4 linked regions of the Caenorhabditis elegans genome follow. The protein of the gene in region 4 interacts with the protein of the main gene of each other region in a pairwise test. Each region holds a gene or a part of one and is shown on either strand. Other genes may lie near its edges.

Region 1 (5,703 bases), on a different chromosome or scaffold from region 4:
TTTTTACTGGAATTTTCACGCATTTAGCTATTTTTTGAGCGCAAATTGTCTTAAACTTATTCGAAAAACAAGTTTTCTTTTTAAAAAATTTAAATTCTCGCGGACCGCATAATGCAAACGCGCCCCAATGAGAAAATAACTGGAAAATCGATTTTTCTTGTGATTTTCCAACAAAACCAACAATTTAAACTGTTATATTTATTTACCAGTTTTGCTAAAACCAAAAAAGTGCAATTTCGAACTAAAAATTCAAATTCCCGCGAAATTGCTGGAAAATCACGGTTCAGCGAAAATTTAAAAGGAATCGATAGAAGTTAATGTGAAAACAAGAGAAACAAGTTTTCCTATTGAAAATTCAAATTGGTATGTTGCAAATGCGCCCCAATGAGAAAATTGCTAAATTTTCAGGTTTTCACCACCAAATTTGTTGCAGAGTGTTCCCACAACAAAAAAGCAATGAAAAGCAGTGGAGGAAAAGCTCCCAGGAATCAATTCTCCCCGAAAACCTATAAAACTCAAATGAGCCACTTTAATTCCGTCTCATTTGATATCCCTGAGACGTAGACAGCCGCTGATTTTTATTTTTTAAAAAGGTTCAGAGGGGGGTAATCATGAGAAGAACGAAAAAAATTGGCGGCAAAACACAAAAAGAAATAAAAAAAAAATCGAAAAGAGACACACAAACAAGTCTATAAACTGTACGAGAGGGAGAGAATTAGAGAAAAATAAATTTTGCAACCAAAAAAAAAAAGACAATTCAGACATCCTCCCCCGAATCGGCTTTTCCCGAAATTGGTGTGCTAACAAATTTGTGACATTTCCCGTTTGGATGGGCCTCGTGGTACTTGGTCGGGTCGAATTGCGATACAATCAGCGAGATGAAATCCTTGGCGCTCTGGAAATTCAAATTTATATAAGGCTACAAGTGCGCTCTAATGCGAAACTCACCTCATTCTCGAGCATTTCCATAACCTCGGCGTGGGTGGTGGTGTTGGTCACGAAGGTCCCATCGATCGCCAAGATACGGTCGTTCACACGGAGCTGGAAATATGAAGTAGGGGTACTGTAGGGAGAGAGTACTGTAGGGAGAGGGATACTGTAGGGAGGGTGATGTAGGAATAGGGTACTGTTGAGAGAGGATACTGTAGGGAGTGGTACTGTAGGCAGGGGATACTACAGGGAGAGATACTGTAGAGAGCGGTACTGTAGGAAGGGGGTACTGTAGGGAGGGGGCACTGTAGAAATGGGGTACTGTAGGGAGAAAATACCGTAGTAAAGGAGTACTGCAGGGAAGGGCACATTAGGGAAGGGGTACTGTAGGAAGGGGTACTGCAATAAGGATGAACTGCTAAAAGAATACTATAGAGGACTGGTACAGTAGGGAGGCAGTACTGTAGGTAGGGGTACTGCTGGAAGGTTACCGTAGGAAGGGTACTGTAGGCAGGGGTACTGTAGTAAAGGAGTACTGGGGAAGGGGTACTGTAGGGAGGGGTACTGTAGAAGTGGGGTACTGCAGGCAGGGGGTACTGTAGTAAGGGTGTACTGTAGAAACGGGTACTGTAGAGAGAAATAACTGCAGTAAGGGGGTACTGTAGGGAGGGGTACTATAGGAAGGGAAAGGGTACTGTAGGAAAAGGGGTACTGTAGGAGTACTGTACCTGATCATCGTCCGCCATCGACCGCTTCAACTTCCCAGTGACCACGACCGGACGGAACTGATCACAACCTCCCTGAATAATTCCATTTCTTCAAATTTTTTGGCTTTTCGGCACCAACCGTAATCTCGAGCCCAAGCCCCTGATTGATATGCTCTCTCATGAGAATCACGAGCCGCGGAGAGCTCTGCCAATCGTCTCCGTTCTCAAATGCAGCATCACCAAGGTCCGACGAGTTGATCCTGGAAAATTTTTTGATGCTCCAACAAGTTCCCACAGAAATCCATCACCTACCGATTGATGAGCCAAAGCGTGTTGAGACGCAACAAGCGGTTCTCCTTCTCGATCTCGTCCCACAGTTTCGATTTGACGGCCGACTCGATCGTTGCCGCGTTGCGCACCAAATCCATCATCTGTCGCATTGCTGCCAGCTCCTGTAATGAGTCTCATGGGAAAGTGTGGGGAGGGGACATGATCATGTAAAAAATGATGATGCGTAGGGGCCAAAAATCTAGAAAAAAAGTGGGGGAAATGTCATGGTGCATCGACAAAATGTTTAGGCTGAAGCTTTGGCTTGGGTTTTGGCTTAGGCTTAGGCTTAGGCGTAGGCTTAGTATTAGGCTTAGGCTTAGGTTTAGGCTTATGCTAAAGCTTAGGCTGTGATCTAGGCTTACGCTTAGACCAAGGCTTAGGCTTAGGCTTACGCTTATGCCTAGGATTAAGCTCAGGCTTAAGCTTGGATTAAGGCTTAGGTTTGGGTGTAGGCTTTGGCTGAGGTTTAGGCTAGCAAAAAATGTGGCCAAAGTGGAAATCACCAATTTTTGGGTAACCAGAGCTACCTGAACCTCTACCCCACATGGTGCATCGACTAGGTAGAACCGTACCCTTGCGTAGAACCTGGTTGCCATGAGATGCATGACACTCTTCTTGGACACCTCATTGATATGCTTCGCCATCCGCTCGTTACGCCGCTTCTCCACGTTGAGCTTAGCCTCCACAAGACGGTGCTCCTGGATCCTTTCCATATTGTCACCGACTTCTTGTTTCTGAAATATTAAGCGTTGAAGTAGGCAGGTAGGCACGAAAGTGCCTGCCTGCCTAGTACTTGTAGGCACCTAGGTAGGTATAGGCAGGCAACATTCCCTCACCATATCATTGAAAATCTGCCTGGAAGTCGCGTCTCCCTGATGATTCGCGGCCAGCAACAAGTGGAACTGCTGGATGACGTCATCATGGGCTTCAGCTATGGCACGAAGCTCCACGAGCTCCTGGAGACACTCCTCACGCTCCTTGATTGCCAATTTCTTAGCGGATTCTTCACTGGCGGACAAAGTGCAAACCTGGAAAAATAGTTTGTGATAAATTAATAAATTATCGATTTTTCTCGTCATTGCCAAGTTTTCAATAACCGAGAAAAAGGAGTTTTGAAGTAACTATTGGAAACTTTTCAAATTCCCGCCACAGTTTTGTACCGGGATACCGAAAAGTCGATACATTATCGATTTTTTCTAAAATTTTTAAACTACCGCCCGACCGGGATTTTAAAGAAACTTTATACTAAACAAAATTCAAACCGTTTTTCGATATTTCGAGCCGGATAGCTAACAATTTTCACAAAAATCGATGATTTCTTACTGATTTTCAAAGCGAAATTTTTAAATTCCCGCCTGACCACGCCTACTTTTAGTCAGCGGAATATCGGAGTGTCGTTGGAGTGCGACGAAAAATCAATAATTTTTTGAATGACATTTGCCGGAAAACTGACATTTTTCCAAAAAATCAATATTTCTCCCAGAATTTTCAAATTCCCGCCCGACCGGAAGATCATATTACCTGCGTAAAAACATTCGAAATTGCCTTCAAATGGGTAATCCAGTCGTCCTTCTCATCGGAAGCCAGCGCCTTGGACATTGCCGTATTGAAGACAGCAGTAAGACGATTGATTTGTTGACACGTCATTTATTGATTTTTTTGCGGAAGAAAAATCGATAAACTCAAACAATAAAAGATTTTTATGCAAAAAGTTGGAAAAAGCCAAAAAAAAATCCAATGAGTTGGAGGAAATGACGTGGCAATTAGGGGGAGGAGGAAAGTCACGGGAAAATATACAAAAAAAAGTTTTTTTTTTGAAAAAAAAATTAAATAAAACCCGTCAAAAAATTCCACATTTTGGAGGTCACGTGCTGCGTGATTCATCAGAATTGTTGGACGATCGGCTTGACGTGGGCTCTTCCATACTGTAGAGGTTGTAGCTAAAACAAAAATTTAAAAATTTGACTGGGAATTCGAATTTTCTGTTGAAATTTGGCCGAAAATTTGAATTTCCCGTCGAAAAATTAACTAAAAGGTTGAATTTCCTATAGAAAAACGACAAAAAATTGGAATTCCCCGCCGAAAAATTCATTAAAAAGTTGAATTTCCCCCAAAAAATAGGCTGAAAAATTGAATTTCTTGCCGAAAATAGACAGAAAATTTAGAATTTTTTGTCGCAAATTGACTAAAAATTTGAATTTCCTATAGTAAAACGACAAAAAATTTGAATTTTCTATTGAAAAATGACCAAAATTTTGATTTTCCAGTTGAAAAATTAACTAAAAAATTAAATTTCCAGTTAAATGTTAACTGAGAATTTGAATTTCCTCCCTAAAACTGACTTATAACTTGAATTTCTAGCTCAAAATCAATTGGAAATTTAAAAATCCCGCCTAAAATTAACTGGCAATATGAAAATCCCGCCAAAAATTAACAGAAAATCAAAATTTCCAGCTGAAAATCGATTGAATATTTAAATTTCCCGCTAAAAACTAACTGGAAATTCAAATTTCCCGCCGAAAAATTCCCAATAACTCACATAGATCCATCGCTGTGCTCGATCGTCACCGTCCCATCATCATCACTATCCTCATCGGGGCACACAAAGACGAGCTCCAGGTCTAGGTCGCCTTGCTGTACCTGGAATTTGGAGGGGATGTAGGTGGAGGGCCCCTGGCAGCATCTTACCTGCCCACTCAAAATATCCACTGCCTCCTGATGCTTGACAGTCCGAAGATCGTAGCCGTTTACTGAGAGAATCGCGTCGCCCACAAAGACCTGTCCACATCGGTCAGCAGGCTGTCCCGGCTGGATTTCAGATATCACTATGGGTAGAGCGTGTTCGGATCCTCCCTGGAAATGGATTTTAGGATCCAGTAGGATTTTTTAAGATCTTGAAGAACTAGGATCCATCCGGAGCTCCGCAAACTATCTGGAGTAGTTTTGAGCTATGCAGCAGAACTACAAAAGCAGGGGTTGTCAGAGTGTCTCATTTTAGATTGATCTACATTGATCTACAAAAAATGCGGGAAAAGAGACGCAGACTTTTCAACTGACTGGGAGAAAAATTCCCGCATTTTTTGTAGATCAAACCGCAATGGGACAGCCTGACACCACGTGCAAAAGTACCTCATAATCAGATGGCACATTTGGTCTTACGGGAACTGGATCAACTCTCAGATCTTACAGGATCCCGTGGATCCCCAAAGGAACAAGTCTAGTCAATGATCTACTGGCCCAAAACCATCCAAGTCCCCCCACCTACCGTAATAGAAATGCCGAGCCCTTCGTGCGGGTGTTTCGAGAGCACCACTTTCCTGCTCTTTCCCACTCCATTTCGTTTTCGGAGGCTCTTGAAGTTGTGACGAAGTGGCGCCGTTAATCCCTTCGTGTTACCCCGTCCTCTGCAAGAATGGCAAATTGTTCAAGTGGGGAGCGGCCATGGGAAACGTGACCGCCTACCTGCAAGCCCGGATCACTGTCTTGTGCCTGTGGAGGTGAATTTCGGCTTCCAGCTGGTTCCAGAGCCTGTCGTGCTCCACGCCGCGCATGTTTCGTCCCAGGAGCTGGATTTGTTGTATCCGGCCTGCGAGTTCCTGGAAGATTAGGGTATGTAAAGCCTTGAAGCCTTAAAGCCTTAAAGCCCGATGGCCTACCTTATCCAGGTACTTTGCCGCCAGCCTGGCCCCGAAGACCTCAGTCTCCAAGGCCTGAATCGTCCGTTTTGACCGATCAC
Region 2 (8,365 bases), on a different chromosome or scaffold from region 4:
AAAACAACATATTTACGGTTTTTGACAATGTTCAGGCGCGGTTTCAGGTTTCTAAAGTTTTCAATTATTTCTCATGGTAGGCAGATGCGGTTTCAAGGCCTGATGCCTGCCTGAAACCTGCTCACCTTTTGCCTCCTTTTTGCACATTTCCATTTTTACGTGAATTCACAAATGTCCAACTTATTTATTTGCACTCTGATAATTAATTACGAATGTTACTTTAGTTCAAAAAAGTGTGGCTACAAAAAGTGGTGCCAGGCTGTCCCATTACGGTGTGATCTACAAAAATGCGGGAATTTCTTCCTAAAAAAAGGTGACGTCAGCACGTTCTTAACCATGTGAAATCAGTTGTGAACTCTGCGCCTCTTATCCCGCATTTTTTGTAGATCAACGTAGATCAATCCGAAATGGGATACTCTGACACCACGTGCTGAAAAGTAATTTTTAACTTTTAAAGTATGGTTATTGATGGATTAGCGCCAGTGAGGAAATTGTTAAAAACTACTCCAGTGGTGCCAAAATGATAGCAAAACTTTTCCAAAAAAATTTTGAAAATTTTGACAAGTTTGACAAGTTTGAAAAGTGACAATTACTCAGTTTTTGAAAGTCATAATTTTGGAAGTCTGCCAAAAAAATTCCTATAAAACATTCTAGAGGTCGGAACAGGTTTAAATATTTGGCATTTTGCCAAAACTTTTCTGGAAATTTTAAAAAATTTTTCAATTTTTTCGAGTTCGTTTTGGCTGGCGCTAAATATTGTATTTTTTCAATTATTAGTGCCCAAACCTTGTAAATGTTCAAAATATTGAAATTTAGTATTTTTCAGATGTTCGTTTTTTGAAAATCCAGAGAAGCTCAAAATTAATTTTTAAAAATGAGGAAATTTGGGAATTTACCAAAATTTCTGGAATTTTTTTCATTAGGACATTAGATAAAAATTCACATTTATGATCTCTAGACTTTCCGCTGAATACTGCCTATAACATACCTGGAACCAGACCTTGACCTGCTTCTCATCAAGCATCAATTGTGCAGAGAGTTCTGATCTCCGCTTATTCGTGAGATATTGATTGACAGAATACTCGTACTCAAGTCTTGATATCTGATCTTTCTTGTACGGTTGTCGCTTCTTCTTCCCGTCATGTGAGATTGCCCACGGAAGATGCATTGCAGCGTTCGGAGTTGTTGCCGCACTGCTTCCAGCCGTCGTTGGAATTGTGATATCTGAAAATAAAATATTTTGATTGCAGTAAATCAATAACTATAAAACAAGATGGAGCATATATATATTCTGAGACGTCTGTGTGATGACACAGACTGAGAGCAGGTGGGGGGAGGTTCCAGTCGTAAAATTGGGGTGGGCCATGTTTTCGGGATAGAAGGCCCGGGGCAGACACACATGCCGGTCCCTTTCAACTCTAATTAATTGGACGGCGACGCCAGGAGCTGTCTAGATTACGGTAAACTGAGCATATGGGGGGGCCAGGGTTGTGCGGCAAATCTCAAAATTTGCCGAGCAAGACAAATTCGGCAAAATTGGCAATTTTGCCGTGTTTATTAAGCTCAGAAAAATGTGATACTTTTTGATATAATTTTTTAATTTTGTGTCAATTTACTAAATTTTTGGAGGACAAAATCAAGTGTTTTGGTCAAAATTGTATTGTCAAATTTTGCCTAGCTCGACAAACGGTAATTTCGGCAAATTTGCCGCAAACCCCTGATGGGCAGCCTCTAACTCGTTTTCCGTGAAATTTATGCAACTTTTTAAGGACATATGAATTCAAACAGTTGAAGAATTTCCGGGAAAGTACCTGATTACAAAACTCAAAATTATTGACGCGCAAAATATCTCGTAGCGAAAACTACAGGGGGCTTGATTTTTGAAATGAATTGAGCAAAAAATGAGAAAATAATATGAAGAAGCCACAGTAGTCATTTAAAGAATTACTGTAGTTTTCGCTACGAGAAATTTTGCGCGTCAAATATGTTGCGCAATACGCATTCTCAGAATTTTGTCTTTCCCTAATAACTCACGGCAGGGCGCCTGGTACATCAATACAAACGTGCTCTACTGATAACTTGAGTAAATTAAGGAAGATCTACTCAACTATTACTAACTACGTCTCGGACTCTTCTACAAAAAAAAATTTCCAAAATTCCTGGGAACATCTGCCAACTACCCACAACAGGATGATTTTATAGCCTTCTTGCATGCCCGTTTCTCCAGGTGTTCTTCTATTCTGCTCGGAGATTACGTAAATGTTTTAGGCCTTTTAATACCAACATATTCCGTTTACCTGTTATATCCTAATCCTCCCCATTTACAACAATTTGATATATGATGATCCTTGACGGGGACAATACCTCCTAGACCCCTATTGATACAACATTTTACGATTTATTGAATTTGATGATTCAGTTTACGCTTGCGAATTCTAAAGGTGTTTACTTTGCCATTTCAGTCATGCCATAGAGTTACCCTTTTTTGCTGTGAAACTTACTTGAGAATCGATTTTTTCAAAATTCAAAAAAACCCGAAAGTGTACAGTGTACAGTACTTTATCTTTCAAAAAATCAGAACAAAAAACAATGAAGGGCAAAGAATTTGTAGGAGAAGGCAAGTGGCACGCCGTCGTCGTCGACTATAAAACTAGCGTCATAAAATTCTAGACAACACTACTCCTCACACTGGGACCCGGTCGGCATACACTTTGAACTTCAAATGAACAACTTGCCGAAAGGATACGGAAGAAGATGAAGATCACATCTGGCATCAGAGAGAGAAGGGATAAGCTGTTGGAAGTTAGAGCAGGGTTACGGTACTTTTTAGTCAGGAATGTCATTTTTCTAGAACATCATTTTTCATAGCCGTGAATCATTTCCATAATCGAATCAAAAAAGGAACATCAAAAAATGTGGGTGCTTCGACGATTCTTCAAAACTAAAACTTGCGTTAAAGATTTCTAATTATCGTAATAGTATTGCACTTAATTCTGAAGACACGTAAATCGAGACAAACGCTACAGTAGTCATTTAAAAAATTACTGTAGTTTTCGCTACGAGATATTATGCGCGTCAAATATGTTGTGCAACACGCATTCTCAGAATTTAGCGTAACTGTAATATCACGTGGTGTCAGAGTGTCTCATTTCGGCTTGATCTACGTAGATCTACAAAAAATGCGGGAGTATGAGAAGCGCAGAACGTGCTGACGTCACTTTTGTTTTGGGCAAAAAATTACCGCATTTTTTGTAGATCAAACCGTGATGGGACAGTCTGGCACCACGTGTAATATTTTCACGGCACGGCAAATGGTACATCCGTGGAAATGCGCTCCATCGAACACCGTGCATAACCCGGATTGGACGCGTTATAAGGAAAAAACTTTGGCCTAATGAATTTAGAATTTTTTGTGAATACTGTAACTTGATTAAAAAATTTTTAAATGAACCATCCGTTTTTGAGAAACACGCACCCAAACTGCCAGGTATACGGTAGACAAACTGCGTAAAGGTACCACTTCTCGGGTATAAGCTTTCAAAATTAAACAATATGGTGCAATACTAATAGAGAAAGTTACTAGATGCTTCAAAAAGTGCTCAAAGTCGCTTAAAGTCCTTAGTTCTTTCTCCCGCTAATCTCGATATCGAATTCCGCATTATATCAACATGACAAGCAGCTTTTAGTTTTAGTAATACGTGTCACTAAAATCGATAAAAAAAAACTACGGACGCCGTAGCGAGACCCACTGAGAAAAACATTATGTACCTTTAGAATAGCCCTTCCCGATCCCAAAAGAACATTCCAAAGAAGGCTCCAACATGTCTGTCGTATCCCCATCCAGCTCTTTCTCCCTCATCTTCGCCCATCCCTAACTACCGTATCTCAATTTGTCCTTCCCCTAATTGAAATGGGGGCTGCCCCCCCCCTCCACTCGCTGTTTTTAATCCGAAAATTTGCGCAGCAGTCGTCGTGACGCCAAAAAAGAGAGTCTCTCTGCCTCTCCAAATACGGGGAGCGGGACGAAGCCAAGCAGCCACACGGAGTCGTAAAATCGAAAATGGAGATAACACACAGCAAGCGAGAGAGACGGGGAGAAAAACGAAATATTTTGGGCGAAAAGGCAATTTGTGAATGAGTGATAGGGACATGTATAGCGCCCCCCCGAAAAGTACCATAAGGCGCCAAGTTGAGTTATTTTATAGACTGTTGATTTGTTGCTGGGAGGTTTGAGATTTGAGATTCTATTACACTGGTTTTTGATCTTTTTTATTTGAGAATGGTGATTCACAACTTCCAGCATTAAAAAAAATCTGAAAGTGCACCGTATATTCCCTTTTAGTATGGCGCCCCCCTCACTCGACTTTGACCGTTTATATCTCGGTTCTCTTTGATTGATCATATTTCAAAAATTCAAACGACAAAATCTTTTTCAAATCTATTGTTATGCTCTGGTTTTTAAAGGTACCAAAAATCTTCTGAAACCGCTGAAATATAAGCCGACAAAGTCAATTGATAGGGGGGGGGGTCATACTAATAGGAAATATACGGTAGTATAAACTGCTATACACACCTAGTTCAAAAGTCATGGGGTACTTAGTAATTCTATTCTAGTTAAAGAAAAAACAGTCCCGCCGGATGTCAGTTGCTGTAAACAAAGTTATGTAATTATGGCAATATCAAGGATGTGGAAAAAATCAACAGCAACATTTTGTTAGTTGGAAATTTTTTGCTAGCAGTTATCATATTCGAGTTACCTATACTTGTTTGAGCAATTCAAGCAAATCACCGTAAAAGCGAAAATAGCTAATATATAAACTTAAATGAGTTCAGGAAAAAAACCTAAATCCTAAAAGCTACGTTTTACATAAGACATTAAAATACGGCATACCTTACAAAAAATCGATATTGGTATAATTAGAACCACAGCTTCTGACACTTTGCCCCTTCTCTACCGTACCATAAAACTGATGTAAAGTGTCTGTTATCGATATAGTCTTCTCCTCTCCTTTTTTGCCTTTTCTCCAAAAAAAAAAGAGTGTCGCCAGTGCGTGTTTATACACGTCGTCGATACACACACACACACATATACAACTTGAAAGGGTCGCCGCTGGCGCCGCGAGGAGAGTGCACTCTCCGATTACTGTATGGGGGCAAAAAAATGAAGAAGATTCTATATAAGGAAGAATGACGAACAAAAAAAGAGATGATCGGAAGATAAAGTGGTACGGTAGGAATTGAAGGCGCGTGTGTGATTTGATATCGATTACTAATTGGGCAAGGGCGAGGCGAAATTTATGGGTGGGGGAGGTCTCAACGGTAATTAATAATTTTATGATTGTTATGCGGAAAAGGAAAGGAATGAGATCCAAATAGGCTGCGAATTGACTTATGATCTTTTAGAAAGTTCCGAGTTACGGAGCAGAAAACCGTGTTCTCCTACCCTTGCAACTCGCGGCGGTAAGATCAAAGCTAGTGATAGCGAGGAATGCGGAGGTGGGCGGGCAGATGGAAGAGCACAATGACATAATAGAAGTGAGATGTTGGAACTAACCACTTAAATTTCCATCGAGACTTGGAATGGAGTAGTTAGCTGTGAATTGATACGGTTGTCCGTATGAGTACCAACCAGTTGAGGCCAGCGGATTTTGATAGAAATCCGTGTAGACCGGGTTCATCATCATTCCAAACTCGTTGGCAGTTGGCATTCGACTTGGTCCGAACCCATACATCCCTGCTGTTCCAGGCATAACCATTCCTGTGCTGAAAATGATAGATGTCATTTGCCAAATCAACTTCACACTAACCTAGACGGCGCTAGCTGTGGACTCGACCCAGTTTCAGATTCTCTTTCCGAACGGCTTTCTCCTTGTATCGACGGTATGGCAGCAGCAGCACTTGGCCAGAAGAATGGAGTTTGTTGGACAGAGGTGATAGATTCTTTAGAGTCTTCTGGAGAGTCGTTATTAATCATTTGTTGCATCACCGAAATCATTCCATATATGAGCAGCTTGGGGAGTTATTTGGGTTTGGAGATCTGTTTTTGAACCTGAAAGTTGAGCACTTTGCGAGATTGAGCTTGAAAAAGTAAGGAAAAGAAAAACGAGAATTTAAAAAGCTTATATTTGAACACTACTGTAGCACTTGTGTCGATTTACGGGCTCGATTTTTGAAATGAATTTAGCACGGCTTGTAAGAGCTACAGTAGTCATTTACCGTATATTTCCTATTAGTACGGCCCCCCTCACTCGACTTTGAACGCTTATATCTCGGTTCTTTTTGATCATATGTCAAAAACTCGAACGACAATATCTTTTTCAAATCTATAGTTATGCTCTGGTTTTTGAAGGTATCAAAAATCTTATGAAACCGCTGAAATATAAGACGACAAAGTCGATTGATGGGGGGCCATACTAACTAGATATAAAGCTTTAGCTACGATATATTTAGGATTTTGACGCGGAAAATTAATTAATTAGTAAATAAGCTTATAACAGTAATTATTATTTATCGGCGACAAACGCGGCAATCAAAACCTTAAGCACCAATAAAATAATTTTAAACCTCATAAACCTTTTGAGGGTAATAAAATAAAAGCTGGGGGGGCACATAAATAACATAAATGTTGAAACATGCATGCGAGACAAGTAATAAAGATTAAGAGAGCACTAAAAAAGTTTTATAAACGCATTAAAAAGGTGTTTCCTCTTTCCCCCTTGTGTTGGAAAACACCAAAGAGACTATAAAGAGAATAAGGGGCGGGGGGCCGTGAAAGGTGATGAGGCCGAGGAGCAGAAAGGAGGACACTACATAACACGCACGCTCCACCCACTTGTCTACCGTACCCCTCTGACGAATTGGGCGGCGAGGAGCGGGGCGGGCGGGGAACAGAGAATGAATAGGAGAGACAAGTTGAGTGCAAAAAGCAAGGGAAAAGCAAATTCCATGATTTTGACAAATATCAACTTTTTATTCCCATATATATGATACAAAATTTGAGCGTTTTTTTTTCAATTTTATTATATCAATTCATTTGAAAAAAAAACCCGACCTCCTGCACTCCGTATTCTATGATATAATTTTAGTATAGGAAACCTTCCACCAATTTTACGACTGGATTACCTTCCGATCCGATTTGCCTTTTAGTCAATGGACAGGAAGAGAGAAAGAGAGGTCGCCACTTTTTTTTCTTTTTTCTCGCTTCGGTTTCTGGTCATTCTATTTTTCTTGTCAAGAGGATTTAGATTTGAAATTTAAAAAACCCCCTGAAGCTTGAGTATTTAAGCTTCCCGCACACGTGGTGCCAGAGTGTCTCATTTTGGATTGATCTACGCTGATCTACCAAAAAATGCGGCAGAGTTCTCAATTGATTTTGCATGGTTAAGAACGTGCTGACGTCACATTTTTTGAGAAAAAAATTACCGCATTTTTTGTAGATCAAACCGTAATGGGACAGCCTGACACCACGTGGCGGCTTATACCTCGGCTGTCTTCAGTTTTACCAAAAAATTTGCAATAACCAAAATATAGGGAAACACTTTGCACTTATTTTGTCCGTTTGCAATTGTTTGATAAAACCAAAGCGAACCGAGTTTTAGGCTGTCAAAGTAGAGCAGGGGGTGCTTTTTTAGAACAGTTTTGATTTTTTAGATACAGGTTTTTATTTAAATTTGAGACCCTAAAACTATCGTGAGACTTAGGCTTAGACTTAGGCTTGAGCTTAGGCCCTTTGAAATTCTAGAAACTTATTTCTGGAAAATCAGAATGAAACTTTTCAAAAAAAAAAAGGATTAAATGCTTTTATGGCGGTTCAAAATTTTGAAAAAACACCTATATTCAGCTTTTCCGTGTCGGAGAGGTTGGAGACTTTTTTGTATTTTCCTGGGCTTCCATGTAGGCGTGAAGACGCCTGCCTGGCCTTAAGGCGACCTCCGCCTGCCTTCCGCCTCAATCCGCGCTTTATGCTCTTAATTAAACTTCCATCAAAATGATAAAAATGAGAAAGTTTGAAATTTTTAAATTCAAGTAAAAATTCAAAAAAAATAACGAGAAATTGCATTCAGAAGAAATATATTTTTTGTCAAATGTTCGAATACCGATAGAATAAATTAAAAATTTTAATGCATTTTTTTCATCTTTTTAGATTTTTTTTAAAATAAAATTCGTAAACATTTCCATTTTCCACTCATTTTTCAGTTCAACAATTCCGCTCTATCACTTCCATTTCCCGTTTTCTTCAACTCATTAGGCCCAACGATTTATGATTATACAACCTACTTAAATTTGTCTGCGATTTTTGATGAATTGGGTATTGAGGGGGCAGACATGTTGGAGCCAATGGGAGTTGAAATTTAATTTTAAAAAA
Region 3 (4,319 bases), on a different chromosome or scaffold from region 4:
TATGTCTCTTATGGTCTCGTGTTCACATTAGACTTGGTTCTATGGTGACCGAGACATATCGATAGGAAACATTTTTTCGTAATATGCAACCATCATGTGTCATTTGAAAGTGTTTCATGAGGCTATGTCACTGCAAAATTTTAAGCGGCAAAGCTCTACTCTCAACCCCAAAAATTTCGATCTTAAATTGTTTCAGGCCAGTAGAATTGGTCCTGATTTTTTTTGTGCAAATTTTCAATGTTTTTTAGAACGGCTAGAAATAAGTTTACATTCTGGGAAATTTTTAAAAATTTTAAAAAATTTTTGAAAAAAAAATCTAAAAATTTCCTCAATCCACTCCACTCGGTTCAAAAATTTTTCAGATTTTTTGAAAAAATTTAAAAATTTTCAAAAATTTTCCAGAATGCTTACCTACTTTTAACCGTTTTGAAAAACATTGAAAGTTTGCAACAAAAAAAATTTGGAGCAATTCTACAGGCCTCCAAAGTAGTGAAGAAGTGCACTGTAACAGTTTCAGATCGATGCTAGAGGGGTTGAGAGTGGAGCTTTGCCGCTTAAAATTTTGTAGTAATATATCCTTATGGAACACTTTTAAATGGCACTTGTCTCGTTTTGAAGTCTGACATTAAAAAATAAAATAAAATAAAAACCTTTCCTTGAAAAGCGGCCATGTTATTTTTTAGTGCTAATCTAGTCAATAAACTGTGAGCCAGCTATAAGTTTTGTAGTCATTGTTCATTTTCTAGACAATAAAAAACCAAATAATGTAAATCAATTAAAATATCAAAGTTGTTTATTAAGTTCTTGTGAAACTAATTGGTTTCATTATATACAAAAACTTGAAGTCATTGTTCAGAGTCCGTTCACTTTCTTCTACAGCACTGTCCATTTCCGCATGGAGAGTAGTTAGCTTGGCAGGAGCACGAGTTTTGTGGGCTTTGTGGGCTCTGCTGGCAAGCCGTAGTCGCTGGCTGAGCGGCTTGGCAGGAGCTGGAGCACGAGTCCTGGCAGGCAGACTGGCACTGAGCGGCTGGTTGTTGTTGCTGAACGCATTGCTGCTGGCACGACTGCTCGCATTGTGGAGTACACTGGGAGGACTGGGCGACGGAGGATTGGAGAACGATTTGGATCACAGCTTGGGAAGATGCTGGGGCGGATGTGCTGGCATCGTATGGGTTGTACATTGGAGCTGGAGTCTGAGAAGTGCAGGAGTTGTCACAGGCTGGCTGGCAGGCTGGGGCGCAGTTGGCGGATCCGGAACCTTGGTTGTTGTTGTTGTATGGATTGTACATTTGGGTGTTGGTGTTAGAGTTCTGGTTGTAGACCTGTTGAGTGGCTTGAGCAGTTTGTTGGCAAATGTTGGAGCACTGGCTGTTACAAGCCGAATTGCACTGGTTAGCTGGCTGTTGTTGTTGGGTGCAGGATGATTGACACTGTTGCTGGCACTGTGGTTGGCATTGAGCTTGAGCCTGTTGGATCTCGAGTTGGATGTGGACTACTTGTGGTGCCTGAGTGGATGTGGCTGGAGCATCGCAGGCAACGTTGCACTGTTGCTGGCATTGTGGCTGGCATTGGGAAGCTGGTTGTTGTTGCTGAACACAGGTGGATTGGCACTGCTGTTGGCACATTGGCTGGCATTGGACGACTGGAGCTGGTGTGGTGGTGGCTGGTGGATTGTACATTGGAGCGCACTGGGATTGGCACTGCTGTTGGCATTGTGGCTGGCACTGGGCTACCGATGGTGCAGCCTGGCATTGTTGGGTGCAGCTCTGTTGGCAAGCTGGAGCACATTGAGTGGTTTGGACCTGAAAGTCTCTCTTTGGAGCTATAGCATAAGTTTGCTAGTAACCTGAACATTCTGGGTTTGTTGTGGTTGAGCGCAAGAGCATGATGGGGATTGTTGCTGAACTGGAGCAGATTGGCACGAGCACGATTGAGTCTGTTGAACCTGTTGGCACGAGCATTGGCTCTGCTGGGGTTGAGCACATCCGCATTGTCTCTTCTCACGAAGCACATTGCCCTGAAAATTAATATTCGTAGACTCAAATTTTTAGATCTTGCACAACTTACAGACACCACTAGGGCGCAGGCGAAGAAGGCAATGGCGAGGGAGGTGAAGCGCATGATTAGAGCCGAAAGTATCGGATGAGTATTTCCATTTGATTGTGGGCTTATATACCATCTCGCTTGAAACTATCCCAACCATCTTCCGCCTTCTCATGCCGCGCGGCAAACAATTTATCGCGTGAAAAAGTGTTCGGTAAGACGAGCAAAGATGAAAAAAAAAGAGACGGTGAGCAGTGCACTCGAGTGGCCTATTCAAATAATCTTTGATTGACAAGAGAAAAAATTCATGATGTATGTGCACCAACACTTTGTTGAACTTCCTGCCCGTTATCACAGAATATATAGAGGTTATCGCTAACATGGAAATCAGTAAGTGTGTCGCGGGCGATGGAAGTGCAGAGATTTCCAGTTTGATTCCTGTGACAATGACTTTTCAACAACCGAATAATCGACGAAACAGTGGCACCCTTTCGAAAACGAGCATATTTTTGTATTGTGCCTATATTTCGACATGCTTGGTGAGTGTAGAGGGAATTTAAAACTAGGAAGAAAAAAAAAGAAATTCGCATACTTTTATAAACTTCAAAATTGTTTTTTAGTTCAATGTGGAAAAACATGAACATTCAATTTTTCGATACTATTTACAGGAAGACAGGGCTTGGTCATTCTGTGTCTCTCTTTGTATGGACCTGATGGGTGGTATGAGAGTGGTTTCCATTGAGCAGCTTTTCGAGGGAGTCTTGCAAATGTTTCTCAGCGGATATTTAGGAAAGCATTTCGACGGGCTCTCGAGGAAACGGGGTACGGTAGACAACTAAACGATCCCGTGGTGTCAGCCTGCCTCATTGCGGTTCGATCTACGACAAATGGGAATATTTTACCAGAAAAATTGTGACGTCAGCACGCTCTTAACCATGCAAAATCAGATGAGATCTCTGCGTCTCTTCTCTCGCATTTTTCGAAGATCACAGCAAAATGGGACGTTCTGACTCCACGTGAACGATTCATTTTTACAAATTTCGATTACTGCAAAAATGATTTGTTCAAGTATCACATTGACCTAACAAAAACTACAATCAAATACTTATTTCGTGAGTATTTGTAAGAGAAAATCAAGTTTTCAATTTCAGCAATCATGACCGTCGTACCGTTGAACAATTTGAGTATTTGTGCTGCAGCTGCTCTTATTATCAGTGAGTTCTAATTTGACACTGATGTAGGTACTCGAAGCTAAAATATTTTAAGCTTGTCTGTCTATCGATGCCACGTCACCGTGGTACATAGTCTGCCTGGTTCTAGCAATGTGCATATGCGCGGTGAACCGGCTTTTCCTGAACGCGGAAAAGTTCATCACAGGCAGAGATTGGGTTATGGTACTCGGAAATGATGGTACACTGTCGAATATGAACGCAACTCTGTTGACATTGGATCAATGTACCAATGTTATTGCACCGTTAGTAACTGGTGTTAGTTCTGTGTTCGCTTTTTAATTCCAAAGTAAAAACAAACTAAGTTAAGGCTCTGGTGACCTGGGTTGGTCTTCGTGAAACAGTTGGAATATTTGGTATAGCCTCTCTTGTTTCAATGGCTTCAAAAACCATTTTCCTTAGAGCAATCTACATCTCCAATCCTCTGCTTCAAGTGAAGAAAGACAAGAAAGATGAAGCGCTAGACCCATTCGCCAATTCAAGGCTCAAAGAATCTGTGGTTTACACGTACTGGTGCCAGATCTCATTCCCAGCTGCATTTGGAATGAGTCTTCTATTCATGACAGTGATGGGATTTGATGGATTAGCTGTAGGATATGGCTCAAGTGTAGGGCTTCCGGAATTTGTTATCGGAGCATTCAGATCCTATGGATCCGTGACTGCGATCCTTGGAGCGTTTTCCTACGCATTCTTCGAAAAGCGATACAGTGTCGCCACTTCAGGACTACTGGGATTGGTTGTTCAGCAGTTTTTTGCGGTTCTAGCAGTTATATCCGTGTTCCTCCCGGGATCTCCTATGAACCTTGGTGGATACTTTGGAAACTTCACTATGGGAACTTGGTGGCACGATATGGTTCACTCTTTCGACGGGAATAACGCTACAAACTTGGACCCACATGTTGATTGGAAGCACTTTTCGTCTGATGGTGTCAGTTTGGCCAGCATCTTTGTGTTCTTGATTGCGATTGCATCCGCAAGATATGGTGAGTTTGGGTTTTTTTTAAGGTGGTGTAGTCGAATTTTTTATTACCTTATCAGGCTCAA
Region 4 (6,354 bases):
CAGGAATGGTTCGGAAAAATTATGATACTACTTATTTATAGCTGTTGATTGCAGGCAAAACGTTGAATTGCTAATCTGACTACACTATTCAGTATGTTCAAACAGTACAAAATAGTACAAAAGTTGGGACACAATAATGTGACAATACAGACAAAAAGTGACTGTGAAGTGTGAAGTGACACGCAACACTAAAAGTTGATATTCCGGAGAGATAAAAACTTGCATATAACACTTTTCATCTGTATTTTTTGTTGTAAGAAATCACATTTTCTTCCTGTATATTTCAAGTATATTTCAATATCTAAAATATATGAGACACGTCTGAAACATGTTTTGAACGACATAATGAACTACCTTTACCTTTACCTTTTTAACATTTTGTTAGTTTACCGTTTTCGAAACCAATTTTTAGCTTATTGAGTTATGGTTTTTAAACACAGCCCCACATTCACGAAAAGTCGTTTGTGCATACCTTCATGACCAGCACTGTACCCGATTATTTGATGTCATATTTACTTAATTTTTATAACCTTGAAAATATTTAATATAACCGATAAAAAATGCTCCAATAGTTGAATAATAATAAGAATGCATGTGTATAATATGATTTTTGAAAAACCCAAATCTAAATATCGTTAATTTTCTTCATTTTTATTTAAACAAAGCGTGACAAAGCAAACAAGTTGGACTAGAGATTTTGTACTTTTTCAAAGTTCTAATCGAGAAATCTGATGAAAAATTATAAGAATAAAATTTAAAGAATGAATTAGTTTATTATATTGAATTGCATATGTTTATTTGTTTCCGCTGAGATCCACTTCCATAGTTTTTGCAATAAGGCGATCAGTTACTTGAAGTTCCTACAATAAAAAAGAGATTTATTTTAAAAGTACCGTTGAATACCTACCATTTTCAGTCTTGGGAAGCAATAAGTAATCATTTCTTCCATTTTCTTCATGTCTTCAGCTGATAACGGCCCGGCTAATGATGAGTCGAACTTTGTGGATTTTGCCTTATGTACTGTTGTCACATGAGATTGTATCTTTAAAAAATAATCATATTTGAAAAAGCAATTGAAATAGATACTTACTCGTTCTTGTGTTGTCCGGTAATGTTTACATATTCTGCACTGAAATGCTGCCATTTTCAGATGGTTTTTCTGCACATGATTCAAGGCACTCGATCCGCTGGAAAAAAGTTGTTGAGAAACTGATGGAATATATTTTTACGAATAATGTTTTGAGTTTGTTTACCATGGGTTTGTTCACCTAGATAATTTAAAAATGCCTACAAATCTCTTGAAAAAATCAAAAGCCCCACTGATCTTTTTTATCGAGACTATACAAAAATGTCTCAACTTCATTCAGGGTGTACGAGAACTCGTACTCTTCTATCTCTTCTTTCATCTTTTGTTTCCCATATAATTAATATCAGCAATATTTGATCTTGCTTTTATCACAGTACCTTTTGTCAAAGTGCTTTTGCCCCGCCATTCCTACAGTTTCTCCACCCCCTTTCTTATGTATTTATAGCAGCCCATGTGGACTGCTTTTTATCTTTAATCTACAACGTATTGAATTTTTTAAGTTCAAATAGTTTTTCAGTTGACGAGTGCACTAAACAGCTATTCAATTTTTGATGACAAACTTAAAGATTTGGGCTAATTGGCATGAAAGACCATGAAAATATTTGAGAGTTTTTTAAAATAAACTTTATTAATAAATTCGGTCATGTTTTACGATTATGAAGCACCTGAAAAAAAAAACAATTTTCACTCAATTTTTAATACGCTTTTTTTTCATTTGACAAAAAATTTTTAAAAAAACTTACTGTGACCCTTTTGGTAGTATTTCATCACACTTCCTGCACTGCATATTTATCGGAAATATACCGCATTCTGTTGATGTCTAAACGTTAGCATGTATTTTCGATACATTTTTACTTTTACCTACCATGGATCTGATAATCGGCTTTTGCGCCAATTTTCTGACCATACTCCGTTTTGCTTTGGCACTTGGGAACTGTGGCGTCATTCTTATATGTGAATCCATGTTAATTATTTCATGCGGTGCTCCATTCGAAGTGGATGCCTCTTGTTGGCATGCCCCTATAAAACGGGTTGGTGGAACAGAATTGTGACGTGGGATTCCTGAAAATAAAATAAATGCTTTGTTCACACCTCGGGCTTTCAAATATTGTAGTTAGTTATTTTTGATTAAAAAAGGCATTTTTCTTACCCATCGGGATCATTTGAGGTAGAGGAGGCGGTATCATTGACGGTCCTGGCAGCACAGTAAGGTCAACAAATTCATGGGCAGTCTGAAATTAAAAAAAAAAACTATATAAATGCCATAACACACGTCCAACGCCATACCAAAAGAGCCATCAGCCTCTGAACATTGTTTTTAGAATTTAATCCAATGCGCATACAAATGAAATGATCGAAAACAATTGGGGCAGAAGGTCGCTCGACTTCCACTTGACGTAGTCTGAAAATTACATGAAATGAAAACAAAAAACGTTTTTCTATGCATTTTTTACAAGGGAATATTGATTTTAAGAAGAGAAAATATTTTTGCGTACATTGTTGTACTGCAAAATGTTTTGAATCAATTTCCGGTATTTCAACACTCTTGTTATTATTTTTAAATTGTGAGATGAATATTTCCAATCCTTAAAATATACAAAAAATTTTAATTGAATAAAATCGGTTACACTGTGATTACAACTAGTATATTAAGCACATTCGTTGCAATAATCATTCTGCGCAAACTCGACCATAAAATATGGTTTCACTGAAACATCCACGTAAAAGTTTTTACATTATGCACCAATTTTCGTTTCAAGAATTTTTTTCGAATTTCAATCTTATTAAAAACTTTTAAATTGTATTTGCTTGTTTCACATTCTAACGTTGTTTTTCTGATGTTTTAAATTATATGAATTTCATAATAAAAACCCCTCGGCTCAAACTCGCATCATTATCTCTCATCTCAGTTTATTTTTAAACTGAAACATTTGCACCCGATCAAAACTCATTATCCCAGGTTTTGTATGTTTACACCATTGTTACACTTTTCTGCAGATCGACCAGAGAATTGTTGCCCTCTTGCACAATGAGATTAGTGTGTGATGTAACGGACTTTTCGCATTTTTATTTTCTGATCTCCACATCAGCTGTCAGAATAATGCCAAAATGTCCGGATTAATTAACCAGTCATCCTTTTTCCCTCATTTTAAATGAATTCTAGTGATTGAAGTAGTGACGGATACGTACTTCCGGGTTTAGTTCGCGACAAAAAATATATCTAGCTTGTTTTTCTCTGTTTAAAAGCATAGAGAAAAGACGTGTATTATAGAAGATAATTAATTGTTGTTTTGATAATAATGGAATGATTAAGCCAGCTCACAAAGCTCACAATTAAAAAACTGTATAATTATAAAACGCCACTAATAGAAAAACTATCGCTGCTTAAAAAATTTAAAAAATTGCATAAGAAGTTTTGTGTTAGTTTGTTTTAACTTGTTTTAAAATACATTCATAATTTAAGTTTTTTAAAATTAATTTTGATGAGTAACTATCAATTTCAGATGTTTAGATTTTCCTTTACACACCTGATTTTTCAAAAAAAAAACTGGATTTGGAGCCCTTTTAAATCATATTTTTCCCTTTTTGTAAGTGGCCAAACATTTTAAACTTATGGTCAATTATGAGATACTTGCTATTTAAAATGCTGCTACTTGCTGCTTAAAACTCAATTGCTTAAAATTCAGACTTCATTCTAAATGCACCTAGAATTTCTTTTAACAATTCGAAACTGTTTGGTGGAAAATGTTAAAAGTACTGGAAACACATAATAATTCAGCTACTTTTTAATAAATGAATTTATATGTGTAGCTTGATGTCATAACAATAATTGTTTTCAAAGGCAAAAAAATCTACTAACGAATAACCGGTCTTTAAAAAATAAAACGACAAAAGTTTCGATTGATCATTGCGTGCCGCAAATAGACGGTCACCGACCGGTATATTTATGCAAGTGGCTCGCGAGCCGGGCACCCGGTTTTATGTGAATTTATGTGCCACCAGAACATTTTCGAACGGAGAGAAAAAAGAAATTGGACTCTGAGTTTTGAAAAATAAAGACAGACTTTTATCATTTTTAAACTAATTAAAATGATAAGCATACCGTTCTCTCACAATGTGCGTTGGTGGTGGAGCTGGTGAAGGGGTATTTGCTTCGTCAAATTCTTGTTTTATTTTTCGAGCAATCATCAGAGCATCTTCATCGTCCTCCTGCTCTTGCCACTTTTCAGCTTCTTCGTACTCCAAATCCACAATTTCGGCTTTTACTTGCTTCATTTTTTACAGATCTGGAAGAAAGAGATAGGGATCAAAAATAAAAAATTAAAAACAATAAAATATCGGCGAAGTTTAACGCGATTCAAAATTAAATTGAACTGTCAGTCAGCCTTTTTTCTAAACTAAAAATAGTATTACATTTTGGAATAAGTACCTCAGAGAAAATTCTTTGTGCAATTTTGCAGAATGATTTTTAACTATTAATTGATTTTTTTCAATCACAAATCAAAATGAAACGTAATAATTCAATTAATTATTTTATTTTATAAAATTAACAAATAAAAAACAAGTTGAGTTATTAAACTTTGAGAGAAATTAGAATCACAGGCAAAGCGGAGTGTATAGAGGCAGTAGAAACGGGCTGATGGGCCTGTGCGGTGAGAGAGAGAAAAAGAGGCAAAAGCAAAGACAGTGTGCGGAGGATCGATGCGGACAACTATCCAAAACCGGTCCTCGATTTGTTCGCGTTTTCTCAATAACCGGCTTGTCGTACGCACTCGCACCAGGAGCGGCCCCACACACAACGTTTCGACAACAATAAAACCCGTCTTACATTTGTTGCGCCAATTTCCCAGATTTTCACAACCGCCTTTATACATACATAAAATTACCCGGTTTCTAGAAGTTTAGATCAATATGCACAAAAATTTGCAATCCAGATATTTCCATAAAAATTAAAGTTAAATGGCTATCCCTATCTAAAAACGAGTAGTTTATACATATAACAAAACAAAAAACATTGAGAGAGTCCATAATCATCTCATCCCATTTTTTTTATTTAAAAAAAATTAAGAAATGTTTTGGTTTAAGACAGTTTGGGAACATTAGTTAGTATATCAGTTTTCAAAAATAACTTCAAAGATGGGAAGACACTATTCATTTTTTTTCCTATAGAATTAAAATTAAATTAAAACTGTAAGATATTTAGAATATTTTTTGACTATATTAAAACAAAATTCTCTTATTTTATCAGCTTAACCTATCAATTTTGAATATGACAATTTTCAATAAAAAATAATGACACTGTTACTTTATTCACATTTAAGTCTTAGAATGAGAAAAGTTTTGCATTGTAAAATGAAATAAAATGTTTTTTCAAGCTCCCGTCAATAAATTTCTCAAAATTTTATAATCACGTTCAAAACTATCAAAATTTGTCATATTTGCTGAAACAACAGTTGAAAAATGTGAAATCTAGCTCAAAACAGTTTTGCTTAAAAATAAATAACTACTGTTATACATAGTTAAAATTATACAAATGCAAACATTTTCAGCTGTTTGGAATTACAAAAAAAAATGTAATTAATTTAAGAGATTGTCTTAATTTCTCAGAAAAGAATGTATTTGCATAATAACTAGAATGAAATACCAAAACTTAACTTAGATCTGCAATTTTCACCAGGCTGCTCTTTGAAAAACCAAATTTCAATATGTATAAAGTGAGGGGAAATAATCAGCTTCTGAGCATTTTTAGATCAGATCAGTACATTTAAAAATTTCTATTAAACCTTATCAAACTACATTCTGTTTGCTCAAACCGTAAAGCTAACTTAAAGTTTCAGCAATTTAAATCAATTCAGAAGCCCAGGTTTCAAACTGAGCCAAGCATTTCGTCTAGATAGTGACTTTAAATTGAAGACTTGACAAAACCGGTTGAAACATAAATACATACACATGCTTATTGGACGGAGAGAAAAGATTGATTCTCATGAGAACTAGATTGAATTCAAGCAGTCAAAAAAAACTATTTCAAGAGGCTAGCAAAAGAGATATTCAGATGACAGATAAGGTGAAAGGAAAATATATCACCTTCCAAGGGTTTAGATAATTTGTTTTATCTAAAACCTGGTAGGCATGTTTACTTCTTTAATTATTATATCTTGTATATAAAATTAATCTGCATTGTTTCAAATGTATATACAATGAGGGTACTATTCCTTTTCTACCCCGCATTCACGTGAGAATTTAATTTGAATAATTCAATGATTTGT

The links.
Region 1: the proteins of F57G12.2 (region 4) and ZK849.1 interact in a two-hybrid assay, tested with the Caenorhabditis elegans proteins (one large-scale study listed by BioGRID).
Region 2: the proteins of F57G12.2 (region 4) and nob-1 interact in a two-hybrid assay, tested with the Caenorhabditis elegans proteins (one large-scale study listed by BioGRID).
Region 3: the proteins of F57G12.2 (region 4) and pqn-54 interact in a two-hybrid assay, tested with the Caenorhabditis elegans proteins (one large-scale study listed by BioGRID).

Annotation. Positions count from the first base shown.
Region 1 is NC_003279.8:14,182,030-14,187,732, forward strand, and holds ZK849.1 (PDZ domain-containing protein), read right to left. Parts: upstream 3,679-5,703; 5' UTR 3,567-3,678; coding exon 3,489-3,566; intron 2,996-3,488; coding exon 2,804-2,995; intron 2,702-2,803; coding exon 2,540-2,701; intron 2,090-2,539; coding exon 1,950-2,089; intron 1,898-1,949; coding exon 1,777-1,897; intron 1,731-1,776; coding exon 1,659-1,730; intron 1,042-1,658; coding exon 949-1,041; intron 896-948; coding exon 758-895; 3' UTR 566-757; downstream 1-565. Other genes in the region: gopc-1 (Golgi-associated PDZ and coiled-coil motif-containing protein), read right to left, coding at 3,832-3,907, 4,507-4,607, 4,656-4,820, 5,233-5,371, 5,430-5,563, 5,624-5,703.
Region 2 is NC_003281.10:12,078,268-12,086,632, forward strand, and holds the start of nob-1 (Homeobox protein nob-1), read right to left. Parts: upstream 6,050-8,365; 5' UTR 5,996-6,049; coding exon 5,808-5,995; intron 5,764-5,807; coding exon 5,555-5,763; intron 1,225-5,554; coding exon 989-1,224; exon of another isoform or gene 1-988. UniProt on the Caenorhabditis elegans protein: Transcription factor, involved in posterior embryonic patterning, morphogenetic movements of the posterior hypodermis, and cell fate specification. Binds to the 5'-TAGT-3' motif in regulatory elements of genes, including Meis protein psa-3 and microRNA mir-57.
Region 3 is NC_003283.11:1,462,819-1,467,137, reverse strand, and holds pqn-54 (Prion-like-(Q/N-rich)-domain-bearing protein), read right to left. Parts: upstream 2,149-4,319; 5' UTR 2,125-2,148; coding exon 2,071-2,124; intron 2,021-2,070; coding exon 1,850-2,020; intron 1,806-1,849; coding exon 864-1,805; 3' UTR 778-863; downstream 1-777. Other genes in the region: fpn-1.2 (Solute carrier family 40 member), read left to right, coding at 2,493-2,585, 2,715-2,868, 3,198-3,260, 3,313-3,533, 3,586-4,258.
Region 4 is NC_003284.9:12,155,677-12,162,030, forward strand, and holds F57G12.2 (C2H2-type domain-containing protein), read right to left. Parts: upstream 4,377-6,354; 5' UTR 4,364-4,376; coding exon 4,191-4,363; intron 2,490-4,190; coding exon 2,375-2,489; intron 2,320-2,374; coding exon 2,238-2,319; intron 2,150-2,237; coding exon 1,953-2,149; intron 1,908-1,952; coding exon 1,831-1,907; coding exon of another isoform or gene 1,827-1,830; exon of another isoform or gene 1,764-1,826; intron 1,588-1,763; exon of another isoform or gene 1,526-1,587; intron 1,188-1,525; coding exon 1,091-1,187; intron 1,043-1,090; coding exon 908-1,042; intron 861-907; coding exon 795-860; 3' UTR 631-794; downstream 1-630.